Arabidopsis thaliana: one gene and its partners. The protein of the gene in region 1 interacts with the protein of each later gene in a biochemical or structural test. Each region holds a gene or a part of one and is shown in the gene's direction. Other genes may lie near its edges.

The links.
Region 2: of the proteins of SIZ1 (region 1) and PHR1, one has a biochemical effect on the other in vitro, tested with the Arabidopsis thaliana proteins (one study listed by BioGRID).
Region 3: the proteins of SIZ1 (region 1) and FLC form a complex in vitro, tested with the Arabidopsis thaliana proteins (one study listed by BioGRID).
Region 4: of the proteins of SIZ1 (region 1) and SCE1, one has a biochemical effect on the other in vitro, tested with the Arabidopsis thaliana proteins (one study listed by BioGRID).

The regions. Positions count from the first base shown.
Region 1 is NC_003076.8:24,293,067-24,300,777, forward strand, and holds the start of SIZ1 (DNA-binding protein with MIZ/SP-RING zinc finger, PHD-finger and SAP domain-containing protein), read left to right. Parts: upstream 1-1,694; 5' UTR 1,695-1,969; intron 1,970-2,067; 5' UTR 2,068-2,159; coding exon 2,160-2,183; intron 2,184-2,451; coding exon 2,452-2,532; intron 2,533-2,751; coding exon 2,752-2,794; intron 2,795-2,903; coding exon 2,904-2,976; intron 2,977-3,070; coding exon 3,071-3,233; intron 3,234-3,397; coding exon 3,398-3,528; intron 3,529-3,835; coding exon 3,836-3,904; intron 3,905-4,147; coding exon 4,148-4,235; intron 4,236-4,314; coding exon 4,315-4,390; intron 4,391-4,601; coding exon 4,602-4,675; intron 4,676-4,804; coding exon 4,805-4,912; intron 4,913-5,395; coding exon 5,396-5,557; intron 5,558-5,661; coding exon 5,662-5,766; intron 5,767-5,849; coding exon 5,850-5,930; intron 5,931-6,013; coding exon 6,014-7,217; coding exon of another isoform or gene 7,218-7,234; exon of another isoform or gene 7,235-7,465; coding exon 7,466-7,601; coding exon of another isoform or gene 7,602-7,605; exon of another isoform or gene 7,606-7,686; coding exon 7,687-7,711. UniProt on the Arabidopsis thaliana protein: E3 SUMO protein ligase involved in regulation processes. Mediates SUMO/ attachment to PHR1, a MYB transcriptional activator controlling the phosphate deficiency responses.
Region 2 is NC_003075.7:14,132,304-14,136,871, reverse strand, and holds PHR1 (phosphate starvation response 1), read left to right. Parts: upstream 1-1,579; 5' UTR 1,580-1,760; intron 1,761-1,913; 5' UTR 1,914-1,920; coding exon 1,921-2,478; intron 2,479-2,568; coding exon 2,569-2,758; intron 2,759-2,841; coding exon 2,842-2,918; intron 2,919-2,987; coding exon 2,988-3,030; intron 3,031-3,116; coding exon 3,117-3,174; intron 3,175-3,261; coding exon 3,262-3,331; intron 3,332-3,474; coding exon 3,475-3,708; 3' UTR 3,709-4,061; downstream 4,062-4,568. Other genes in the region: ABCB24 (ABC transporter of the mitochondrion 2), read left to right, coding at 1-484, 870-1,346; NPGR2 (no pollen germination related 2), read right to left, coding at 4,273-4,568. UniProt on the Arabidopsis thaliana protein: Transcription factor involved in phosphate starvation signaling. Binds as a dimer to P1BS, an imperfect palindromic sequence 5'-GNATATNC-3', to promote the expression of inorganic phosphate (Pi) starvation-responsive genes.
Region 3 is NC_003076.8:3,173,414-3,181,203, reverse strand, and holds the start of FLC (K-box region and MADS-box transcription factor family protein), read left to right. Parts: upstream 1-1,755; 5' UTR 1,756-1,864; coding exon 1,865-2,049; exon of another isoform or gene 2,050-2,120; intron 2,121-2,155; exon of another isoform or gene 2,156-2,219; intron 2,220-2,307; exon of another isoform or gene 2,308-2,320; intron 2,321-5,542; coding exon 5,543-5,600; intron 5,601-5,778; coding exon 5,779-5,840; intron 5,841-5,930; coding exon 5,931-6,030; intron 6,031-6,108; coding exon 6,109-6,150; intron 6,151-6,344; coding exon 6,345-6,386; intron 6,387-7,096; coding exon of another isoform or gene 7,097-7,168; intron 7,169-7,206; exon of another isoform or gene 7,207-7,312; coding exon of another isoform or gene 7,313-7,327; exon of another isoform or gene 7,328-7,378; coding exon 7,379-7,480; 3' UTR 7,481-7,790. UniProt on the Arabidopsis thaliana protein: Putative transcription factor that seems to play a central role in the regulation of flowering time in the late-flowering phenotype by interacting with 'FRIGIDA', the autonomous and the vernalization flowering pathways.
Region 4 is NC_003074.8:21,427,981-21,432,267, reverse strand, and holds SCE1 (sumo conjugation enzyme 1), read left to right. Parts: upstream 1-1,869; 5' UTR 1,870-2,157; coding exon 2,158-2,226; intron 2,227-2,352; coding exon 2,353-2,436; intron 2,437-2,923; coding exon 2,924-3,076; intron 3,077-3,168; coding exon 3,169-3,282; intron 3,283-3,374; coding exon 3,375-3,437; 3' UTR 3,438-3,772; downstream 3,773-4,287. Other genes in the region: AT3G57880 (Calcium-dependent lipid-binding (CaLB domain) plant phosphoribosyltransferase family protein), read left to right, coding at 1-1,070. UniProt on the Arabidopsis thaliana protein: SUMO-conjugating enzyme that accepts the SUMO proteins from the E1 SUMO-activating heterodimer SAE1/SAE2 and catalyzes its covalent attachment to other proteins with the E3 SUMO ligases SIZ1 and MMS21.

The DNA.
Region 1 (7,711 bases):
TATATATATGGATGAGGTGATACTAATAGAGTGATTACACATACAAGTGGTCTTGCTTCTTCTATGGTTTTAAAACTGCAAATAAAGATTTGCTTCGCAGGAGAGATAGCGCCATCACCTCTTCTAAGAAGTTAACTAGTGGTGACGGTATCTCTCCTACGTAGCAATCCTTATATATGCATCTTAATACGGAGAGATCAAGGTATTTCAGTTGTTCAATAATCACCCTCTAACAAAGATGCATCTTAATATTCATAAACTATTCTCTTTCTACTTACATAGTAACACCATAAAAACAATGAAACTGCTCCGTAGAGGACCTTGGTTTGAGCCTCTAGATCGTCTTCTCTTACCTAAAATGATAATCTGTTCCAAGATAGGTTCTTGCTATTTGCTCAAATATGTTTTGGTCTTTTGAATGTTAGCTCAGCAAGGAGCTCACATGATTAGCAGCACATCCTCAGCCTGAAAGTTTCAAGAAAAGCTTTATCAATTTAAGAGTTGTGTACGTTTGCAGAATTCTCACAAGTTTGGTTTGATTCTCACCCACAAGAAAAAAATGTCTTTTCTTTTACTTTCGATATGTTTCTTTGCCTTTGACAAGGGACATATAAAAATGTTAAGACGAAAAGGTTGACAAATCTTTGAAAACTATCCACATCATGAACTCAAGATATCTCATTCCATTAGAAGCAAAAAAAATATCAAGTCAATGAGACCAGCTCACGACTACTCTAGAATCTTCATTAAGCAGAACAAGGAAAATCTATAGGTCTAATTAAACCTTTTTTTAATATCTCGGGTTAACACCAAATTTGGTTCAAACTCGACAAGTCATTGTTCAAAACACAGCATCCAAAAAGATAAAAAGCCAAATCTTATCACCAGAAGTCCACCACTAATTGGTATATAATGTTTTTTTTTGTATGTAGAAATAGTGTTGAAGAAAGAGCTTCATGCTATTTGATATCTATAATATCTCATTTCTTGTAACAAATGAACTCCACACGGAATGAAGCTTTTTACATATAGAAAGAACATATAAATGTGTCCAATATCTAATTTGGTCCACGTATCAATTTGCAAGATCACATGCTTACGAGACCTCAAATATTTGGTGGATATATAAGATAATTTCCCACATGTTTTACGAACCATCCCGTAATGAGTATGAATTATCCGGTCTAGCAATCCATTCGATAGATTTACTAGTTGAAACTTGAAAGTAGGGTTTTGCTCACTTGTATCCTTTATTCGTAGTTTAACTATAATGCACATATGGAAGAATTGAGCCACAATTCTCAATGAATTTAGCGAGGGTGAGAAATGTCAATTCAATGTACATTCTATGTCAATTCAATGAAAACAAATGAAGAAAAGAGACATGAAATATGTTTCCAAATTCTTACTTAGAAGAATTAGAATCAAATAATACAATATCTACATATGCCATGAGAGACATATGGAAAACCATGTTTTCGGATGATAAACTTCCAAATTGATTTGATATATACTATAAACCGGCAAATAAACAAATTGAGGTTAAAATATAACAAACCGGTCCGGTCTGATCGAACGGCTGATGTCATAAAACGTGGGGAATATTCGATTAAAATAACAAAGACTCCGTTACGGTCGTAAATAAGTGGTGTGAGAACCGAAAGTCAAAAACACGTCAATATTGGTGGGGGGGACGACCGTGCACGTGACCACACAGGAACTAAACCCGGACGTATTGCGCGAAAATTAAACCGGATTTGATAATCGGCGACTCGTCCGGCAACCCTTGTTTTGTTTTCGTCTCGGCGGATCGATTTTTCTTCGTCTGGGTTTGGTTGTCTTTTTATTTTCCTCTTCCTTGGCCAAAGAAAATCTTATCGTAGCTGTGAAAACCCTAGTTTCTAATCATCTCAATTCTCTCATTAACCTATCAATTTCGATAGGGTTTGATCAAGTATCCGATTTCATGGTTTGTATTTTCCGTTTAATAGTCTTTAAAGGTCTTGTCTTTTGGAATTTCAAGGGTTTTCGTTTCAGTAACTCCTTCTTTTTTTTCTGTTAATTTAGATCGGTTGCTGTATGGAGACTAATTGCTGGAGTTTAGGTTCGTGTGTTTTGAACTGAGCTTTTGGTTCTTGTTTGTGTCTGGTGTTGAAGACATGGATTTGGAAGCTAATTGTAAGGTATTATTGTCTGAAAGATCTATGGATGCTTGTTGGTTTATAATTTTTGTTGATTTGAACTTGTTATGAATGTGTTGATTGGTATATAGAGTGGATGTTTCAAAAAAGCTTTGCTTTTCCGTTTTGTTTATGATCTAGATTGTATTGCTGGGAGTAAAAAACGATCCTTTATCTCATAAGGGTTTTGGATTATGGTTCGTGGTTGCTGTTATTGAATTTAGTCTTGCTCTAGTTAAGCTTAACGTTGTGTTTTTGTTGTGGGTTGCAGGAAAAACTTTCATATTTTCGGATAAAAGAGCTCAAGGATGTGCTCACTCAGCTGGGACTTTCGAAACAGGGAAAGAAGCAGGTTAGTATCGTTCTCTAATCTTCCATTGGTCGTGATTATGTTTGTGATTGTTTTGGAATGATTATAGTAGAGAAGATGATGTTTTGGGTGATAATTATTGCTGTCTTGAGCTATATAGCAGTTTCCAAGATAAATCTAAGACATTACCTTGCAAAGAGTGTTATCTGTTTTATTCTTTCACCAAAAAATTTAACTTCTTTTTGAAATTTTCTTGTGCAGGAACTTGTCGACCGGATCTTGACCCTTCTTTCTGATGAACAAGGTTATATGAACCACTTGCTTTTGTTTATTCACGTTTTGGTGTATTAAGAGTCACTGCTAGCTCTGCCATCTTCTTCTAATAAGCTTCCGTTTTCATTCCCTACTGACAGCTGCCAGGTTGTTGTCTAAAAAGAATACAGTGGCAAAGGAAGCAGTTGCCAAATTAGTGGACGATACATATAGGTGAGTGCTCGTTTCTTTCAATAGATTTCTTAGGAGATGCCATGCTTTTTGTGGCGGTTCTTTGTTACCATTAATTTTATATTGTGTTCCATAGGAAAATGCAAGTATCTGGGGCAAGTGATTTAGCATCAAAAGGACAAGTGAGTTCAGATACCAGTAATCTGAAAGTTAAGGGAGAGCCTGAAGACCCCTTCCAACCAGAAATTAAAGTTCGATGTGTTTGTGGAAACTCGCTAGAAACAGACTCAATGATACAGGTAATCTGGGATGAACTCACTGCGTTTATTCCTGTTTGAGCTGACTGTAGACAATTTCTTTGTATTTTATGGTCGATGGTGTGATGTATTTATCATTGATTACATTTGTGAAGTTTGGTGATACTTTCTGGCTGTAATTTTTGTTTTTTTTCTTCCGATTTCAGTGTGAGGATCCAAGATGCCATGTTTGGCAGCATGTTGGCTGTGTTATTCTCCCAGATAAGCCTATGGATGGGAATCCACCACTTCCGGAATCATTTTATTGTGAAATCTGCCGACTTACTCGAGCTGACCCGTATGTGTTTCAAGGATTTTACTTTTCCTGTCTGAGTTTAAGTTTGATATGTGATTGATTTTCCATCTGAGTTCCTCCCTCACTGCTTTATGATTCTTTCCTGCCATAACTGAAAAGAAAGACATATTTATACATTTGACATGCTTTGCATTCTAGTTTCTTTGCGTTTGATTGTTCTTCTTCTTCTAGTACTGTTTTCATAGTTGTCAATTTTCTTTTATATATTATTTCCTATCTTTACATTAGCACCTGTGGATATCCTATAGCATGATTATTCACGGTTTTCCTACATGGTTTCCTTGTTCAGATTTTGGGTTACAGTGGCACATCCACTCTCTCCAGTGAGGCTGACTGCAACGACTATCCCAAATGATGGGTAAGAATTTTATATTCTTGATATTGCTATTGCTTTGAACGAGTGTACTTTCAGTGCCATTATTGTGTGAATTGGTACTTTATAAGTCACTTTGACTTTAAATTTTCTACTTGGAACTGGTATAAGACATTCATTCTAGTTTCAAGAATGACAATTGTTTCCTGGCTATATGCATAGCACCTGCTGAAGAAATACTGTTACTGGCTTTTGTTTGTACTAATACTCCGATCCAAAACTTTTCAGTGCAAGCACAATGCAGAGTGTGGAGAGAACATTTCAAATCACAAGGGCAGACAAGGACCTTTTGGCCAAACCAGAGTACGATGTTCAGGTTGGGTTTTGTAAACTACATTTAATATGTCAAGGTGTATCTACCTATACGTTTCTAACTGGAAATCAATTTTGTTTAGGCTTGGTGTATGCTCTTGAATGATAAAGTTCTCTTTAGGATGCAGTGGCCTCAGTATGCTGATCTGCAGGTCAATGGTATGACAATGACATCGACCAGAGTTTTAGTCGGTTGAGCATTTCCTTTGAAACAGGGGAATGTTGTTTTATTTCATGTTGCATAAATTCCTGTGGGCACATTCCATTCACATTCACATTGTCTTTATTTGTCTGTTATTCTGATCATACTCAATAAGACTGTGTATGTTTCTGATGTGGGATTCATGATATATACCCTATCATTTCATAGGTGTGCCTGTACGTGCAATTAATCGACCTGGAGGACAGCTTTTGGGAGTCAACGGCCGCGACGATGGACCCATTGTGTGTTTTTTATCATCCCTTTTGAGTAGTAACCCTTTTGAATTACATATAGGAGTCAATCTCTCATACATTGAAAATCTAGCAATCAGTGATGTAAGTTTTAACCATTTCATTTTACTATTTTGGCAGATTACATCTTGTATTAGGGATGGAGTTAACAGAATATCCTTGAGTGGAGGTGACGTTCGGATTTTTTGTTTTGGGGTCAGACTTGTGAAGCGCAGGACTCTACAACAGGTACTGATAACATATATGCATAAGAAACATTCAAAGATTTGGTCGTATATGTGGTCAATGAAGAGTCCAAACATAAATGTTCAAAAAGGAACGAAATTAATATTCTGAATACAAAAAGAAAGAATAAATTATGTTGGCGTACCCAAGAAAGTAATTTTGTGGAAGTTACCTGTGGTTACACACTTACGTTAAACTATTCCCATGTTATTTCCCACTCCCACTAAATCTAGAAAAGTTAGTCAGATTTCAAATTTCACAGTCCTATTCTTCTTCCTATATTTCACGTATATGAGCCACTGAGCCTGGCCTTGTATGAGATTTGGTTACGGAAGTGTAGTCTGTCCTTGTGCTGCAACATTTATCCCTTTAATCAATATATTTATCACTTTTGTTGGTGTTCTTGTATACAGAGGAATTCATATTGTACGTTAATGATCTAATGATCTCCAAGTTGCTTATATATATACTCATTTTTGCATCTAGGTTCTAAATTTGATTCCAGAAGAGGGTAAAGGGGAGACTTTTGAAGATGCTCTTGCACGTGTCCGCCGATGCATTGGAGGTGGAGGTGGAGATGATAATGCCGACAGTGATAGTGACATTGAAGTTGTTGCTGATTTCTTCGGTGTCAATCTTCGGTGTCCTGTAAGTTACTAATAGCTCGTAGCCCAGTTTTTATACTTATCCTCTTCCTAGGGCTATCTTGCAGACTGAATTTTTTTTATTGTCTTTTCTGTTTGCGTCATTAGATGAGCGGTTCTAGGATAAAAGTTGCTGGGAGATTTTTACCCTGTGTGCACATGGGCTGTTTTGACCTTGATGTGTTTGTGGAGTTGAATCAACGTTCCAGAAAGGTAGGTCTACTATCCTTGTCTAGATATTGGGTTATGTCTCTTGTTTTCTGACTTTAGTTGTTCTGGGGTTTGTTAACATGCAGTGGCAGTGCCCTATTTGTCTGAAGAACTACTCAGTGGAGCATGTAATCGTCGATCCTTATTTTAACCGTATCACGTCTAAGGTATGTATTCTTATGGGAATTCAAGAATTCTTAAAATCTTTGTATCTACGCTTTTATTCAGTAGTTGTCTTCCTGCACGACAGATGAAGCATTGTGATGAAGAGGTGACTGAAATTGAAGTGAAACCTGATGGTTCTTGGCGTGTAAAGTTCAAAAGAGAGAGTGAGCGAAGGGAACTGGGGGAACTCTCACAGTGGCATGCACCTGATGGTAGCCTTTGCCCCTCTGCTGTTGATATTAAACGGAAGATGGAAATGTTACCGGTTAAGCAAGAAGGTTACTCAGATGGTCCAGCCCCGCTAAAACTTGGAATAAGGAAGAATCGTAATGGCATTTGGGAAGTTAGCAAACCTAATACAAATGGATTATCTTCCAGTAATAGGCAAGAAAAGGTTGGGTATCAGGAGAAGAATATTATACCAATGAGTAGTAGTGCTACTGGAAGTGGTAGGGATGGTGATGATGCAAGCGTAAACCAGGATGCTATTGGAACTTTTGACTTTGTAGCCAACGGCATGGAACTTGATTCCATTTCCATGAATGTTGATTCAGGTTATAACTTTCCTGACAGAAACCAATCTGGCGAGGGTGGAAATAATGAAGTCATCGTTCTGAGTGATTCTGATGACGAGAATGATTTAGTGATCACTCCAGGGCCTGCATACAGTGGTTGTCAAACAGATGGTGGACTTACTTTTCCACTGAACCCTCCTGGAATAATTAACTCATATAATGAGGACCCACACAGCATAGCTGGGGGAAGTTCAGGCTTAGGTCTTTTCAATGATGATGATGAATTTGATACGCCCCTTTGGTCATTTCCTTCTGAAACTCCAGAAGCCCCTGGGTTCCAACTATTTAGATCTGATGCTGACGTTTCAGGAGGTTTAGTTGGTTTGCATCATCATAGTCCACTAAACTGTTCTCCTGAAATAAATGGAGGTTATACCATGGCTCCTGAGACATCAATGGCATCTGTTCCTGTGGTTCCTGGCTCTACTGGCCGATCTGAAGCAAACGATGGCCTAGTTGACAATCCTCTTGCATTTGGTAGAGACGATCCCTCACTTCAAATATTTTTGCCAACAAAACCAGATGCTTCAGCTCAGTCGGGTTTTAAAAACCAAGCTGATATGTCAAATGGTCTCCGTAGTGAAGACTGGATCTCGCTTAGGCTAGGCGATAGCGCCTCTGGGAATCATGGAGATCCTGCAACTACAAACGGGATTAACTCAAGCCATCAGATGTCTACGAGGGAAGGTTCTATGGATACTACAACAGAGACTGGTTTGTTCCCTGTCTGAGACTAATGCTTTCCTGAAAACATCAAAGGGACCTAAAAATGTGGACCATGTTCTTGATGTTGCATTACCTTTTTCATCACTTTACTAAGCTGCTAGCTAGGTCTTATAAACAACTGAAGAAGAAATATCTGTTTTAGTTTCTATGTGGCGTATTTTGTCTTTGAATATGCTACTTTATATATGTCCATAGTCCATGTGGTATACTTACTGACTATTACTGCGTATTTGCAGCGTCGTTGCTTCTGGGTATGAATGACAGTAGACAAGACAAGGCAAAGAAGCAAAGATCAGATAATCCATTTTCATTTCCTCGCCAGAAGCGTTCTGTAAGACCTCGGATGTACCTCTCCATTGACTCGGATTCTGAGTAATATTCTTCCTGATTTGTCTGTTCTGTTGTGTCTCTCTTGGGATGATTCGGTGTTCCTTTTGATTCTTAACGCTATGCACAGAACAATGAACAGGATCATCAGACAA
Region 2 (4,568 bases), on another chromosome or scaffold:
GTGTTCTCAGGGGATTATGAATGGTCAGATGACAGTTGGTGATTTGGTGATGGTGAATGGTCTCCTCTTTCAACTGTCTCTTCCTCTTTACTTTCTCGGGGTTGTTTACAGCGACACCGTTCAGGGACTTGTCGACATGAAATCGATGTTTAAGTTTCTAGAGGAGAGATCTGATATCGGAGATAAAGATATAGACAGGAAGCTCCCTCCTCTTGTTCTGAAAGGTGGAAGCATTAGTTTTGAGAATGTACATTTTAGTTATCTACCGGAGAGAAAGATTTTAGATGGGATTTCATTTGAGGTACCGGCAGGGAAAAGTGTGGCGATTGTCGGTAGTAGCGGAAGCGGAAAATCGACTATTCTTAGAATGATATTCAGGTTCTTTGATGTAGATTCCGGAAATGTAAAAATTGATGGTCAGGATATAAAGGAAGTGAGACTAGAGAGTCTTAGAAGCTCCATTGGAGTTGTCCCTCAAGATACTGTAAGTTGCCATTTTCACTATAAATTTTGCTAGCTCTTACATTTTGTTGTTATGAGTCTAAACCGGTTTTTAGTATGTTAGCATATGGTTACAGATTGGGGTTTGATTATTAGTACTGTATACTCTTTTGTATTACAATCACGTTTACTACATAAATCATGAAGGAAATGATATTGACACTGCAAAATGCTTCTTAATTGTAACTAAAATCTTTATTTTAATATCATGGCCTTTTTCATACGTTTTGGTAGTTTAAAATGTAACATGTCACTTTTCTACAAATTGCATGACTTCAAAGTAACTTCCATATACAAATTTAATATCATTATCAGGCATATATACCAATCATAAATATTCGTATCATTAACCTTAATTCACATGGCAGGTGCTCTTTAACGACACTATATTTCACAACATTCACTATGGAAACCTTTCAGCAACAGAGGAAGAGGTGTACAATGCAGCTCGACGAGCAGCGATTCACGATACGATCATGAAATTCCCTGATAAATATTCGACCGCGGTGGGAGAAAGAGGGCTGATGCTGAGTGGTGGAGAGAAACAGAGGGTGGCACTTGCTCGTGCATTTCTGAAATCACCAGCAATCCTATTGTGTGACGAAGCAACAAGTGCACTCGACAGTAAAACCGAGGCAGAGATAATGAAAACGCTGAGGTCGCTAGCGAGTAACAGGACTTGCATTTTCATTGCACATAGACTGACCACTGCAATGCAATGTGATGAGATATTAGTAATGGAGAAAGGAAAAGTGGTGGAAAAAGGGACACACGAAGTGTTGTTGGGGAAATCTGGCAGATACGCTAAATTATGGACACAACAAAACAGTAAATTGGAGGTGTGAATTTTGTAAAACTATGAATCAAAAAGCCACTTTGGGCCTTTATATAGCCTTTTAAGAGAGTGAAAGAGCAGAAAATATAGACACCAGAAAAAATTTAATAAATAAAAACGAAAAAGATCAAGCCCAATACACGATCCCAATTATCCAATAAACAACGTCCACGTAGATCCCGACAAGCGAGTCATACTCACGCGCTGTTTCACCGAGCGTGAAAAAAACGACGGCTGATCCCTTTGTTTAAGACAGCCACCACCTCCGAAATTAACAAGAAGGCGAAGAAAATCATCACCACCGTCAACTTTTCTCTTGCGGACAAGACGATTCTCCGATTATCCCCAAGAGGAGAATCCTCATAATCATTTTCTCCGATTCGATTCGTCTTCCTTGGTCCTGGATTGCTTCATGAATTTCTAGGTGAGAATTTTCGATCCTTCTCCTTTGCCTTTTGGTAATCCACAGAGAGATAGAGACAGAGAATTTATATCTTTCGAGCATAGTTCGGATTCGATTTGGTTTTGTTTTTCCAGCGAAGTTGATGTTTGGTTGGATAATGATTCTCTCTTGCAGGACAACAATGGAGGCTCGTCCAGTTCATAGATCAGGTTCGAGAGACCTCACACGCACTTCTTCAATCCCATCTACACAAAAACCTTCACCAGTAGAAGATAGTTTCATGAGATCAGATAACAACAGTCAGTTAATGTCTAGACCATTAGGACAAACCTACCATTTACTTTCATCTAGTAACGGTGGAGCTGTTGGACATATATGTTCTTCTTCATCATCTGGTTTTGCAACCAATCTCCATTACTCAACTATGGTATCTCATGAGAAACAACAACACTACACAGGAAGCAGCAGTAATAATGCTGTGCAGACACCAAGCAACAACGATAGTGCTTGGTGTCATGATTCATTGCCAGGAGGGTTTCTTGACTTCCATGAAACCAACCCGGCGATTCAAAACAACTGTCAGATTGAGGATGGTGGCATTGCGGCTGCTTTTGATGACATTCAAAAACGAAGTGATTGGCATGAATGGGCTGACCATTTGATCACTGATGATGATCCTTTGATGTCTACTAACTGGAATGATCTCTTGCTTGAAACAAATTCCAATTCAGATTCAAAGGTTGTTATAGTTTCTTGTTCCAAGTTTTTACTTTGTTTCTATTTGATATCTGTATTCTCAAGTTGTTCAATACTGGACACACTTTTTTAGGACCAGAAGACACTGCAAATTCCGCAACCTCAGATTGTTCAGCAGCAACCTTCTCCGTCTGTGGAATTGCGACCTGTTAGCACAACATCTTCAAACAGCAATAACGGAACGGGCAAGGCACGAATGCGTTGGACGCCAGAGCTTCACGAGGCTTTTGTTGAGGCTGTCAACAGTCTTGGCGGTAGTGAAAGTGAGCATTTATTTCTCTTTGCTTTCCATAAACTTTGAATTGTATATGGAAAGATAATAACTTTTTCTTTATATTTTACTCAGGAGCTACTCCTAAAGGGGTACTGAAGATTATGAAAGTTGAAGGCTTGACTATATATCATGTTAAAAGCCATTTACAGGTTCTTACTATTCTTTAGTTCCCTGCTAATGCATATAATTGTCTTCTAATATTAGATTGTGTTTTTCAGAAATATAGGACAGCTAGATATCGGCCAGAACCATCAGAAACTGGTAAATACCGAACTCATTCCCATCTTCGTTGATGATTTTACCTGAAGAATTCAATGTAAAAACTAAAGTTTCTTTGATCACTACAGGTTCGCCAGAAAGGAAGTTGACACCGCTTGAACATATAACATCTCTTGATTTGAAAGGGTAAGGTTTTCTTGTCGGTTAACATCACAATGCTACACGCTACACCATTTTTAACTGATTCTTACCTCATACATATTTATACTGCAGTGGGATAGGTATTACAGAGGCTCTACGACTTCAGATGGAAGTACAGAAGCAACTCCATGAGCAGCTCGAGGTATGTTCATAAAGGCATTGCCATTAGCTTTGGTTTTTTATACTTATGTGTTTGGATTGTAGCTGCTAAAGAGAAAATGTGAAACCTGTTTATAAAGTATTCTGAATTTGGGTATGACATGTGTTCTTTTCCTTTGCCTGCAGATTCAAAGAAACCTGCAACTCCGAATAGAAGAACAAGGCAAGTACCTGCAAATGATGTTCGAGAAGCAAAACTCTGGTCTTACCAAAGGGACAGCCTCAACATCAGATTCCGCAGCCAAATCTGAACAAGAAGACAAGAAGACTGCTGATTCGAAGGAGGTTCCAGAAGAAGAAACCAGGAAATGTGAGGAACTAGAATCTCCACAGCCAAAGCGTCCCAAAATCGATAATTGAAAGTATTGGTCTTTTGCTGGATAATCTCGGAGTTTCAGAGTTAACAGTGATAGAGAGAACGAGCTCTTATCTTGAGGTTCTTCAGGACTTCTCTCTTTACTGTTTAACTATTTTTCTGATGGAAGACTCTCAACTCAGCTGTGTAGACAAACAACAGATCCCCAAGGAAGAAACAAAACAAAAATAAAAAGTTAGTTTGGGAGAATCTTCATCATTCAGTGTAATCTAAATGCTTAACTCATCATTAGTTTTACAGCTACAGATTTCTTATGTTAATCTTTTTTAGAATATCAAACCTGAAAAGTTTTCTCCGAAAAATTTATAATCTTTTATGAGTAAATAGTAAACCTGGCTTATAAAATTTACCTCACCAAAACCTATATTAATTTTTGTTTAACTGTGTATTACAAAATGTTTATAAACTTGACATCAAATGATATACTCGTACACATACATCTTTATATCTTCTTATATTCATCTATCAAAAACAAACACAAAAAAAAAGAATCAGAAAAGGAGAAATCATAACCAAAGACAAAAAAAATATGATTTGAGAGGGCAAAATCATCTGAATGGCTCCACTGGCATTGTTTCCTCCAAAGTAACGGCGGCTTGAAAACACTCAACGGCTTCTTGCATCGACGAGACGGACCCTTCAGCTTTGAACATCTTTCCAAGATTGTACCAAGCCGAGTGGTTCAGCCTATCAATCCTAAGAGCCTCCATTAGAAAGCTTCTAACAACCGCTATGCCTGATCGGTTACCGACCTCCAGCAGTATCTCAGCCTTCGATGTTAAGCTTGGGACGTGCATCGGATCTATGTCAAGAGCGGTTGTGAACGCCTCCATTGCTTCTTCTA
Region 3 (7,790 bases), about 21 Mb from region 1:
GTATAGGGCACATGCCCTACCCATGACTAACGTGAGTCCGCCCCTGATAGCGAGTAAGAAACGAGCAAAGGAATGCAAATTATGTGAATACTATACACCAACAGTGTAGACATGTAGCTACAATGCGGCAATGTTAAAAATAAACTCAAATTGGTTTGGAGGGAACAACCTAATGCTTATAAGTACACTTTTGTGGTAAATACAATCCAATTGAAAGTCTTTGTAGGTTTGGTTTGGTCCAATGAAATTGTATGCGAGTTGAGTAAAATAACCTTAGTTCAAAACATTAGATATGTAATGGTCTAGATACGATGGTAGCCAAAGATTTGGGTTAAATTTAGAATAAAGATCAAAGAACAAATGACTGACTTCCTTATGTGTGTTTGTTTATGTAAAGTCTTAACTCGTGTCTTGCCAAATTAATAAAAAGGTGCATTATACAATGAACTAGAGCTTGTTCTCATCAAAAATTTTAACATTAATATAAGTTATTAAAATTTTGTTGATTATATATGATTTCAATATTAAATTATATTTTTTGCTTATAGCATCAAAACTTCTTGGCACAGCTCCGAGTGTTACTGAAATGTTTGTGTGGCTCCAATAGAAAAGTTAATACCAATCATGAATCATCAATATCGTTACAAAATCAGTAATCAGTTTCACCCACTCCGAGTGTTAGTGAAATGTTTGTGTGGCTCCATTAAAAAAGTTAATACCAATCACCAATATCGTTACAAAATTTGTAATCAGTTTCACCCACTTCTTTTCGTCTTGTTACTCGATATAGCCTCACCTTTCAAGTGTCTAATATAACATTTTTTAACAAAATATTACAAAACAAGAAAAATTATAGTAATTAGATTAATCATATGTAATCTATTACATATAGTAATTTGTATTAGTATCGTTTATTGTGTTACCATTCAAACGGTATAATCTATATAATTATTAGCAAAACAAAATATAGTTTTAGTAATTAATAAAATTAATATAATGATAGTGATATTCAGAATGTGGTATCTAATCATGTAAAAATATATAATAATAAAATTAGATAAAGAAGAAATTGGTAAAAAATAATTAATGAGATATAAAAGGAAAACAAGCTGATACAAGCATTTCACCAAAAAAAAAACAAGCTGATACAAGCAAAAAAGAATTAGTAACTTTGAGCTATTGCCATATGTGTGGACATTTAAGATTTCTTGTATTTTAGAAATCTTATATATTTCCACAATATATTTACTACTTTCCTTTATTATTTGTGTTAATCTCCCGAACATTATTATTTCAATACTATCTGAAAAACACATTTTTTTTTATAAAATTTGATGACGTAGGCGAGTGGTTCTTTGTTTTTACTATGTAGGCACGACTTTGGTAACACCTACTAATTAACTGCCAAATTTTAAGTTTTGAGAAGTCGGAAGAGTTCAAACCAGTTTTAGGTTTCGATATGTCTACATAGTTCAAAGATGATGTAGAGTGGAGGTTCTTTCTGCAATAGTTCAATCCGTATCGTAGGGGAGGAAAGATAGTTTTCATTTAGCAACGAAAGTGAAAACTAAGGCAATGCAAAAGTAGCAAAGACGCTCGTCATGCGGTACACGTGGCAATCTTGTCTTCAAAACACAACGTTTTTATTCACATATTTGGTTTTTTTGCATCACTCTCGTTTACCCCCAAAAAAAAAAAAATATCTGGCCCGACGAAGAAAAAGTAGATAGGCACAAAAAATAGAAAGAAATAAAGCGAGAAAAGGAAAAAAAAAAATAGAAAGAGAAAACGCTTAGTATCTCCGGCGACTTGAACCCAAACCTGAGGATCAAATTAGGGCACAAAGCCCTCTCGGAGAGAAGCCATGGGAAGAAAAAAACTAGAAATCAAGCGAATTGAGAACAAAAGTAGCCGACAAGTCACCTTCTCCAAACGTCGCAACGGTCTCATCGAGAAAGCTCGTCAGCTTTCTGTTCTCTGTGACGCATCCGTCGCTCTTCTCGTCGTCTCCGCCTCCGGCAAGCTCTACAGCTTCTCCTCCGGCGATAAGTACGCCTTTTCCTTACCTGGGTTTTCATTTGTTCCCCCTTTTATCTTCTGTTTTGTGCTCTTTTACTTTTCTGAGAAAATAAAAATAAAAAAACAATTAATATACCGTTTGGTTTTTTTCCGGCGGATCTCTTGTTGTTTCTCGGTTCTGTGTTTGTTTGTGTTTTTTTCTGCGACCATGATAGATACATGAGATAACCAAATTTAAGGAAGAACAATGTCGTGAAGAAGCTTTTTAGCTTCTTACTTTTGTTCATTTCTCTCTCTATTTCTTAAAAAAAAAAATTCTGCATGGATTTCATTATTTCCTTGGAAAAAAATTGCATGTCATTCACGATTTGTTTGATACGATCTGATGCGTGCTCGATGTTGTTGAGTGAAGTTTCAAGCCATCTTTGATTGTTTCTTACCTTTAGAGATTCCTTAAGTTTTTGAAGAGTTAATTATATATCACAAGACTAATGATTAATGTCTCTTTTCAGAGTGATTAAAATTCATTGGATCTCTCGGATTTGTATGCAATGCACTTACGGGAGATCTATAGAGTTGCTATGGGGTTAATGCTGAACAATGTATATATACCACATTGTGCAGCTATTGACTATATAAGACTATTGTTAATCTTCTATGAATTCCTATCTTTGCTGTGGACCTATTACTTGGTGATTATCCAAATTAGTGTTTTTAATTGATTCATATTTTTCATACACAGTAGTTTTGAATTTTGGTAGCTTCAAAAAACTCAGCCTCACAATTAGTACTTACCGCACATATGCTACTTCAGTAACATAATCTGGTTATCGATTGCGATTCTTTGAATCACAATCGTCGTGTGCTATATATATAACACCTTTTGCTGTACATAAACTGGTCTAATTTTAGACTAATTAAATTTCATTGTTCTCTTGGATTTGTATATGCACGTCCGGGAGATTTATAAATAAAATTAGTATGAGGTTAATGGTAAAAAGGATCAAGAAGTTTGGTTTTAAATGTAAGCCACATTAATTGGGAAACTATGACTAAAAGATGAATTGGTAATATATACATAATATTTTTAACGAATTTCTCTCCTTTTTATGGGATATGCTATTTAAAGATTGTCCAAAGGTTTATAGTTTCCCACTCTTGCAGTTACACACATAGATTTGCCTCATATTTATGTGATTGTATATCAATTATCGCCCTTAATCTTATCATCGTTGTGTTCATTTATGACTTTGTTCCTATTCGTTAAAATTGACAATCCACAACCTCAATCTTTTGTTGTGAAAATCGACAATCACACAACCTTTGTATCTTGTGTCTTTTGTCACACAACCTTTGTATCTTGTGTCTTTTGTCATGGAAATTGTCATTCACACAGCCTTGTTTCTTTGGTGCCTCTAGGAAATTGAAAATCCCACAACACTTGTCTTCATGTAAGAAATACCAACCTCTTTGGTACGGATCTATAATGAATCAATATAATCCTATATATAAGTTGTCAAAATTGAATCTGGTGTAGTGTCTACTACAACCCTCCAATATAATAACCAAATGGTTGTAGTAGTTTGGCCATGTTGGTCAAGATCGCTGGCCGATTCTCACTTGATGCATACTTTGTTAGGATTTGTTCACCCCTAGTTAGGTCCAGCCTTGGAATTGTCGAGACACCTGACTAGAACTCCTGGTCTTAATTATGATTTAATAAAGAAGAAGCCTTTTAGAACGTGGAACCCTTAGTTACTCAGTTACTCTTTTTGCATACTTAGGTTGATGCAAAGAGCTTAACTTCACAATAGGACTGATATCTATTAACAAAACAAATTAAGTGAAGTTTTGTCAAAATTGTTGGATCTTCTAGGTCAATATGTAGTTTAGTTTTTATCTGTCTTAGTCGCTTCCTTCTATGGAAGATATATTTATAGATATGTGTGATAAGTTTCCTACTAATATTAGTTAGTGTAACTTCAAGGGCAGAAAACTCTTTACTTTTATTGCTTGATTAATTTGGGGTTTAAATATAGGAAATTGGAACCTCACAGTTTCTATAAACGAGTAAGTAATTGAATGTGAAATAACAAAATGGAAGACCGGCTTCCTATTCTTAGGAGTCTTTTGATATTTGCAAAAAAAACATATACAATAGAAATATGAGTTTTGTCTAAGACTCGGTCCATGTATTTGGAGTTTGGCTTCCTCATACTTATGGTTATCTGGTTACCGCCACATCATCATTATCATCTTATGGGTCATCAATACTAGCTCTATCGCTGGAAAAAACCTTGTCCTCAAGGTTCATTGAAAAATCCGAAAAGTTTTCTCGTATATGTTGATATGGTATTACTTACAAACAAAGAGCTGATGTTACCAATTTTGACACGAGATTACTAATGAACTCATGAAAGAGGCGTTTTTAAAAAATTCTTTTTAAAACTGGGATACAAAAAGAAAAGAGGTAACTAATAATTTGATACCATTGTTCGTAGTCCTGATCAAATGTTATAAGGGTAAACATGATAGAAAATAGAGGGTAAATAGGTTTTGTTCTTATAATGGTTTTGATAACACGCTTTGTAAAGGATATAGGTGTTTTTTGATGCTAAAAGTTGTGGTATGGATCAAAACCAAAATGGAAGCTCTGAATCTCTGATAGAGGTTGCAATTAGAATTATATAAGTTAATTTGCAAATGAATTGGAAGCAGTCTTCCACTATTTGCTATTGTTAGGGAAGTCTTTCAGTTAATTTCAGAAAATTAAGAGAAATATGACTTTCTAGACTCAGTCTGTGTACTTGGAATTTTACTTCGGTTTACTTCCATGTCATCACATTGTGGCTCATCAATATATGTGTGTATATACATTCATGAGTATATATGATTTCTGGAAAAATAAAAATTGCTTGTTTGCATTTAAGATTGGGGCTGCGTTTACATTTTATATTGCATCAATTATTTCAACATAGATTCACAAACATAAATGCATAGAAACAATCTGGACAGTAGAGGCTTATGTTTAGGGTTCTTATGTACCTTAACTAGTTTGACTTTAAGTTAATCAAAGCCAGCGCTATCACTAAACTTTATCTGTATGCCTTTGTATGACTTTTCTTTGAGGGAAAATGTCATTTTCAATCTGCCGAAATATATAATAAATACATGTTAGCCCACATAATTCATTGGATAACTAATCTTTGAGCAATTTTTGGTAAATGTTTTGGTTCTTTTCTTTTCTTGAGAGAGAAAAAAAATATCAGATATTATTAAATATTGCTTACAAAGCTAAGAACAAGTTAAAACTTTTTTGAAAAAGTGGAAATTCAGATGTGCTACTGCTTAAACATGAATATTAAGATTATTGTTTTTCTGAAATGTTACGAATACTAGCGTGTTATATATATGTAAAAGGTAAGGTGTTCTCTCAATGTTTCATAGTTTCCAGTGGCCTTTTCAAGGGTTAGCTAGTAGTTTTGATCCTAACATATTTTTATTTTTTTTGTCATCTCTCCAGCCTGGTCAAGATCCTTGATCGATATGGGAAACAGCATGCTGATGATCTTAAAGCCTTGGTAATACAAACATTTTGAATCTTTTCCCTGATGGAGTTTTATAAGGCGTAAATTTACTATTAGTTTGCCGAGTGATCCTAAATATAAAATGAGGTGGTGGCTCCACATGCATTATGCATACCGCAATTTTCATAGCCCTTGTCTTTTACCGCTTCTTCTGTCCCTTTTTCATGGGCAGGATCATCAGTCAAAAGCTCTGAACTATGGTTCACACTATGAGCTACTTGAACTTGTGGATAGGTTAGTACTACTAACTAAGACTATATTTGCTCTCCACCTTTGATTACAAAGGAATTAGTTTTTTTTTTGTCAAACTATGAATATATGCAGCAAGCTTGTGGGATCAAATGTCAAAAATGTGAGTATCGATGCTCTTGTTCAACTGGAGGAACACCTTGAGACTGCCCTCTCCGTGACTAGAGCCAAGAAGGTAAGTTGATTTCGTAATGTCTACTCCTTTCTGAATTTTGTTTGCTGAGAACAACCGTGCTGCTTTTGTTTGTTGCAGACCGAACTCATGTTGAAGCTTGTTGAGAATCTTAAAGAAAAGGTCAGATATTTGCTACCAATTTTATTGTACATCAGATATATCCTCTTCTGTGTTGTCTCTGTTACTTTAAGTCTGCTTAACGAGCTTGCACACATATTTGCAACTTTCTTCATATGTTTTGGATTCCAAATTCTGAAGTTGTTAGGTTTAGAAACTTGATCGGTAATTGCTGAACATTTTGATCTTTAAATCAGGAGAAAATGCTGAAAGAAGAGAACCAGGTTTTGGCTAGCCAGGTAACGAAAGCTACATTTCCTAAAAATATATATGCATAACTAATAAGCACTGCGTGTTGTGTGTCCAATGTCCATGTACATGGACATAGATACACACTCTTATGCTTGCAGATATATATATATATATATATAGTCAGTGCATTTCAATCATTCACTAGTTAGCACTTTCCTGTCTTGTATAGTTGTATTCTAGACAATTCTTCTCAAGATTAGGGCATTTTGGTTGTTGGTAGTTTGGTTTATTAGGGTTAGTGAGATTATTACTGAATAAGAACAGAATTTTGATAACGGCTGGTTAGAGTTAAGGGAAATCAGATGAAGTTATTTTTTTATTTTTTATCGAGTATAAATTACATGATTGCTATATCATTTTACTAAATTAAGAAAAAAAAATTCCGGTTGTTGGACATAACTAGGTTTTGGTTCTTCTTCTTCGTTTTTTTCATGTTAAAGTGTTTAATTAGGTTTTGGTTCATTTGGAGATTTATGAACCTTTTATAGTCTGGTTAAGTCTGGGTTTGGTAGAGATTCAATAAGATTTCTTGATTCTCTTTCAGGTTATGGTCTGGTTCAGTCTAGTTTAGTTCAATATTGGTTTCCTTGAAGGTTGTGTAAACGTTGTCTATATTTAAGTTAATCACCTTTTAACCAAAAAAAAAAGTTTATGGACCGATTAGTTTTTTTTTTTTTGTTTTTTTTGTTATGGTTAGGTTTGGATCCGAGTGGCTCAGTTCCAACTCCAAGTGTCTAGAAGTAGTGCTACTTTTACATGCTATATATAGGTTAGATTATAAATTATAAACTGGTAAAAGATTATAGATACTGCTTCCAAACTTAAAAGCTTAAACATAAAGAACACACAAATTATGAGAAACATAACCTTCTGTAGTGTTTTTTAATGGTTGTTATTTGGTGGTGTGAAAAAGATATTCCTTGGATAGAAGACAAAAAGAGAAAGTGAATAGTGATTTTGACCTATGATTATCGTACAGATGGAGAATAATCATCATGTGGGAGCAGAAGCTGAGATGGAGATGTCACCTGCTGGACAAATCTCCGACAATCTTCCGGTGACTCTCCCACTACTTAATTAGCCACCTTAAATCGGCGGTTGAAATCAAAATCCAAAACATATATAATTATGAAGAAAAAAAAAATAAGATATGTAATTATTCCGCTGATAAGGGCGAGCGTTTGTATATCTTAATACTCTCTCTTTGGCCAAGAGACTTTGTGTGTGATACTTAAGTAGACGGAACTAAGTCAATACTATCTGTTTTAAGACAAAAGGTTGATGAACTTTGTACCTTATTCGTGTGAGAATTGCATCGAGATCTTGAGTGTATGTGTTCTTCACTTCTGTCAAAAACTTGTGTTTGCTTCACAGTGAAGAAGCCTACGGCT
Region 4 (4,287 bases), on another chromosome or scaffold:
GGGAGGTTTTTGATCCGTGCACCGTTGTTACTGTTGGAGTTTTTGATAACTGCCATCTCCATGGAGGTGAGAAGATTGGAGGAGCAAAAGATTCAAGAATCGGGAAGGTAAGAATCAGGCTTTCTACTCTCGAGACTGATCGAGTTTATACACATTCATACCCTCTTTTGGTGCTCCATCCTAACGGAGTCAAGAAAATGGGAGAAATTCACTTAGCTGTGAGATTCACTTGCTCTTCATTGCTCAACATGATGTATATGTACTCACAGCCTCTCTTACCGAAGATGCATTATATCCATCCACTGACGGTTAGCCAGCTTGATAACTTGAGGCATCAAGCGACTCAGATTGTATCGATGAGGCTGACCCGAGCAGAACCACCTCTAAGGAAAGAAGTAGTTGAGTATATGCTTGATGTGGGTTCTCACATGTGGAGTATGCGGAGAAGCAAAGCAAACTTTTTCAGGATTATGGGAGTTTTGAGTGGGTTAATCGCAGTAGGAAAATGGTTTGAACAAATCTGCAACTGGAAGAATCCAATCACAACAGTCTTGATCCATCTCTTGTTCATCATCCTTGTGCTCTATCCCGAACTAATCTTGCCCACCATCTTCCTCTACCTCTTCCTCATCGGTATCTGGTACTACCGTTGGAGACCGAGGCATCCTCCTCACATGGACACACGTCTCTCTCACGCTGACTCAGCCCACCCCGACGAGCTAGATGAAGAGTTCGACACTTTTCCTACTTCCCGACCATCTGACATAGTCAGGATGAGGTATGACAGGTTGAGGAGTATTGCTGGTAGGATTCAGACAGTGGTAGGTGATCTAGCAACTCAAGGAGAAAGGCTTCAGTCTCTGCTAAGCTGGCGTGATCCGCGTGCAACAGCGCTCTTCGTCTTGTTCTGCTTGATTGCCGCAGTCATTCTCTATGTGACACCTTTCCAGGTTGTGGCTCTTTGTATTGGAATCTATGCTCTGAGACATCCGAGGTTCAGATACAAACTACCATCCGTTCCTCTCAATTTCTTCAGAAGGCTTCCTGCAAGAACTGATTGCATGCTCTGACCTGCAAAAACTGCTTCCAATACCGAAGAAAACTTCTATAAGACTTGTAGTTTGTTCTTGTTAAAAATATCATGATGACTCTTTTTAGTTTGTTCATTGTTAAAAATGTCATGATGACTCTTTTCTTGGTGATGGTGATGATGTATCCGTCTGTCTTTTAACATTATTAAGACTTTTGTTTGAAAGTAGTAAAGAAGTATCTTGTGTGGTTTTGATGTTCTTGTCACTGGTTAGTAAGTCATAATCTATGCCTCTCTGGTTTTTGTGTTTTATCACTGGAGCTTTAGGAGTTTGGTGCCATTGGGTTGGTTGCTGTTGAGATTAGAGGTTGTCACAGTTTGGTCTAATGGTCAAATACAAGTTTCAAGAAAAAACCATTTTTCTAATACATCCAAAGTTGGTTATAACCAAAAAAACTATCATATTGGGAATATATGTTCGCTAAATAACATTCTTACACAAAAATTCATTGAAAGCTTTGATATTTTATTTTTTTTCCGACCATTCTGTTTGACAAATGTTTGCCAGGTGAGATACTTTTATTCTAGAAAGACCAACCATTAAGAAGAAGAGGGGAATAATTAAAGCAAGCTTAAGAGTTAAGAACACAAAGTAAATGGGCCCAGATATGGTAATGGGCCACGTGACAAATGGGATGATACGTTATGGCAGAGAAAGAATCTTTTGGTAGCTTTTTTGGGTATCATCGCGTAGGTTTCACGCCACATTTATCCATTGACTTTTTCATTACGTCTTTTCATTTATTTTATGATATAGTAGATAATAATTATACCTGGTTAAAATTTAATAATTGACCGGTCAATAACCATTAAAGTGGAGGAAGTAGGACGAAAGGACATTTATTCGCCGCGAAATCTGGACCGTACGATACTCCGATTACCCTTCTAAAGCTTTAACATAGGGGTACATCTGTAACTTCACATTCCATCTTCCCCCAATCTCCTATTTGTGTCTTCTTCGAGTTTATATATAGAGAGATAGAGATTGGAGAGCGAGCGAGACAAATCAGAAGAGAGAGATTTAGATATTGTAGAGTGAGATTCTAAAGAGAGAGAGAGAGAGAGATATGGCTAGTGGAATCGCTCGTGGTCGTTTAGCTGAAGAGAGGAAATCGTGGAGGAAGAATCATCCTCATGTAAGTGATTTCGTGTCTTCTATTTCTCCAAATTCGTGATTTTGATTTATGGGTTTTGGGTTTCTGTTGATTGTTCATGGTCTCTGATTACTGATTGGGTTTCTTCTTGTTGATGGTGAAATTTAGGGTTTTGTGGCAAAGCCGGAGACGGGGCAGGATGGAACTGTGAATCTAATGGTGTGGCATTGCACTATACCTGGTAAAGCTGGGGTAAGTATCAATCGTGAAATTAGGTTTCTTCAGTTTTCTTATTCCTCTGCTTGTTTTCTTCTGGTTTGTATTAGTAGCAACAAAAAAGAGATTGAAATTAGGGTTTATTGATTTGGGCTAAAGTCTTTGTTTTTATCATCTTCTGATTCTTAGTTCTTCAAAGTTTTAAGCTTCACCAGTCTCTTCCCTTCTTTTTCTTTGTGATTCTGTTTGATGATTCTCTCATATTTGCTTACACATAGAGCCGTGGAAGATTATCTAATATGAATGTTAGTGGGAAGAGTAGCTGTGTATCTATCTCCTTGTTTATCTTGTATGATGTTTTTTTATTGGTGCATATGATTTTGGTCTTGAATACGACATTGAAACTGAACTCTGCTGTGTATCTTACTTTGACATGGCTAATAAGAGTGTTACTGCAAGAGCAATTGCTAATATCAATCTTTACTGTTGTTTATAGCTAATTTTACATGTTTCTCTGCTGCAGACTGATTGGGAAGGTGGATTCTTTCCATTAACGATGCACTTCAGTGAGGATTATCCGAGCAAACCTCCGAAATGTAAATTTCCACAAGGGTTTTTCCACCCTAATGTCTATCCATCTGGAACTGTCTGTCTCTCTATCCTTAACGAGGATTATGTAAGTACTCTACTGTTTCTTTCTTTGCATTTCTCCATGAGCAAAAGCCAGCTTTATCCTCAAGCTCTCTTTTGTTATGTGTATATCCATAGGGATGGAGACCAGCCATCACCGTGAAGCAGATTCTTGTTGGTATTCAGGATTTACTTGACACACCGAATCCCGCTGACCCTGCACAGACAGATGGTTATCATCTCTTCTGTCAGGTACATTTAGAAATGAAAACTCTAAACACAATATTAGGTTTTGAAACATAGGAAGGAACTAAGTCGAGTGATTGTTGATGATTATTGTGCAGGATCCAGTTGAGTACAAGAAAAGGGTGAAGCTGCAGTCCAAGCAGTATCCTGCTCTTGTCTAAAACCTCAAAAAAGAGAACGCACCAAAACTGATGACAAGCTCTGAATATTTTCTCGTCTTGTGTCATTATGTTTAGATGTCATTGGGTGATTGAAAACTCCTCATTTTGGCACCTTAAGACACTGGAATCTATTTATTTTCGAAAAAAAACTCTTCTTTCTCTATTTAACTGTTAATATTCTTGGTACTGATTCAGTTGGTGTTGCTTCTATATAATACATAATTATGTTCTCTGGTCGTTCATGAGTGTTGTCCAAATTCTACTAAGTGAAATATGAAGTCTTCATTCCATAGAGTAACGAATCTTAGTTGTGAATCTAGAAATACATATATTTCTAACTTGAAACTACGCTTAACACTTGAAAGTCAAAATCTTACTCCTCTAAAATTTATACTCCACTGATTTTAGACTTTTGAAGTAGTATTAGTGCTTGTTAGTAAATTGTTTGCTACTTGGAACATTTTTTGTCAATGATTGAGATAGAAAGCTTGGAATATTTAACAGAACTTGGAATTTAGCTACGAAATCAAGTGTGCAGAAAGAGATAGGCAAACACCGTATGTCAACAGTTACAAAGCAATAAAACCAAACATTCAATACTTATATACAACTCAATTATTGAAAGTCAACAACAAGCCAAAATCGTCTACAAGTGATGACACTTCAGATATGAAATGTGTGAACTATTATAATCTTTCCTATGATATCATCATCAGCAGATGATTCCTGATCTATTCTATCATCAGAACAATGATTTTCCAAAACGAGTATCCTATAAAATCGTCAAAAGATGATTGACGCTTCTAATAAAATCATCAGAAAATGATACAAGTCTAAGAAACCACCGAAC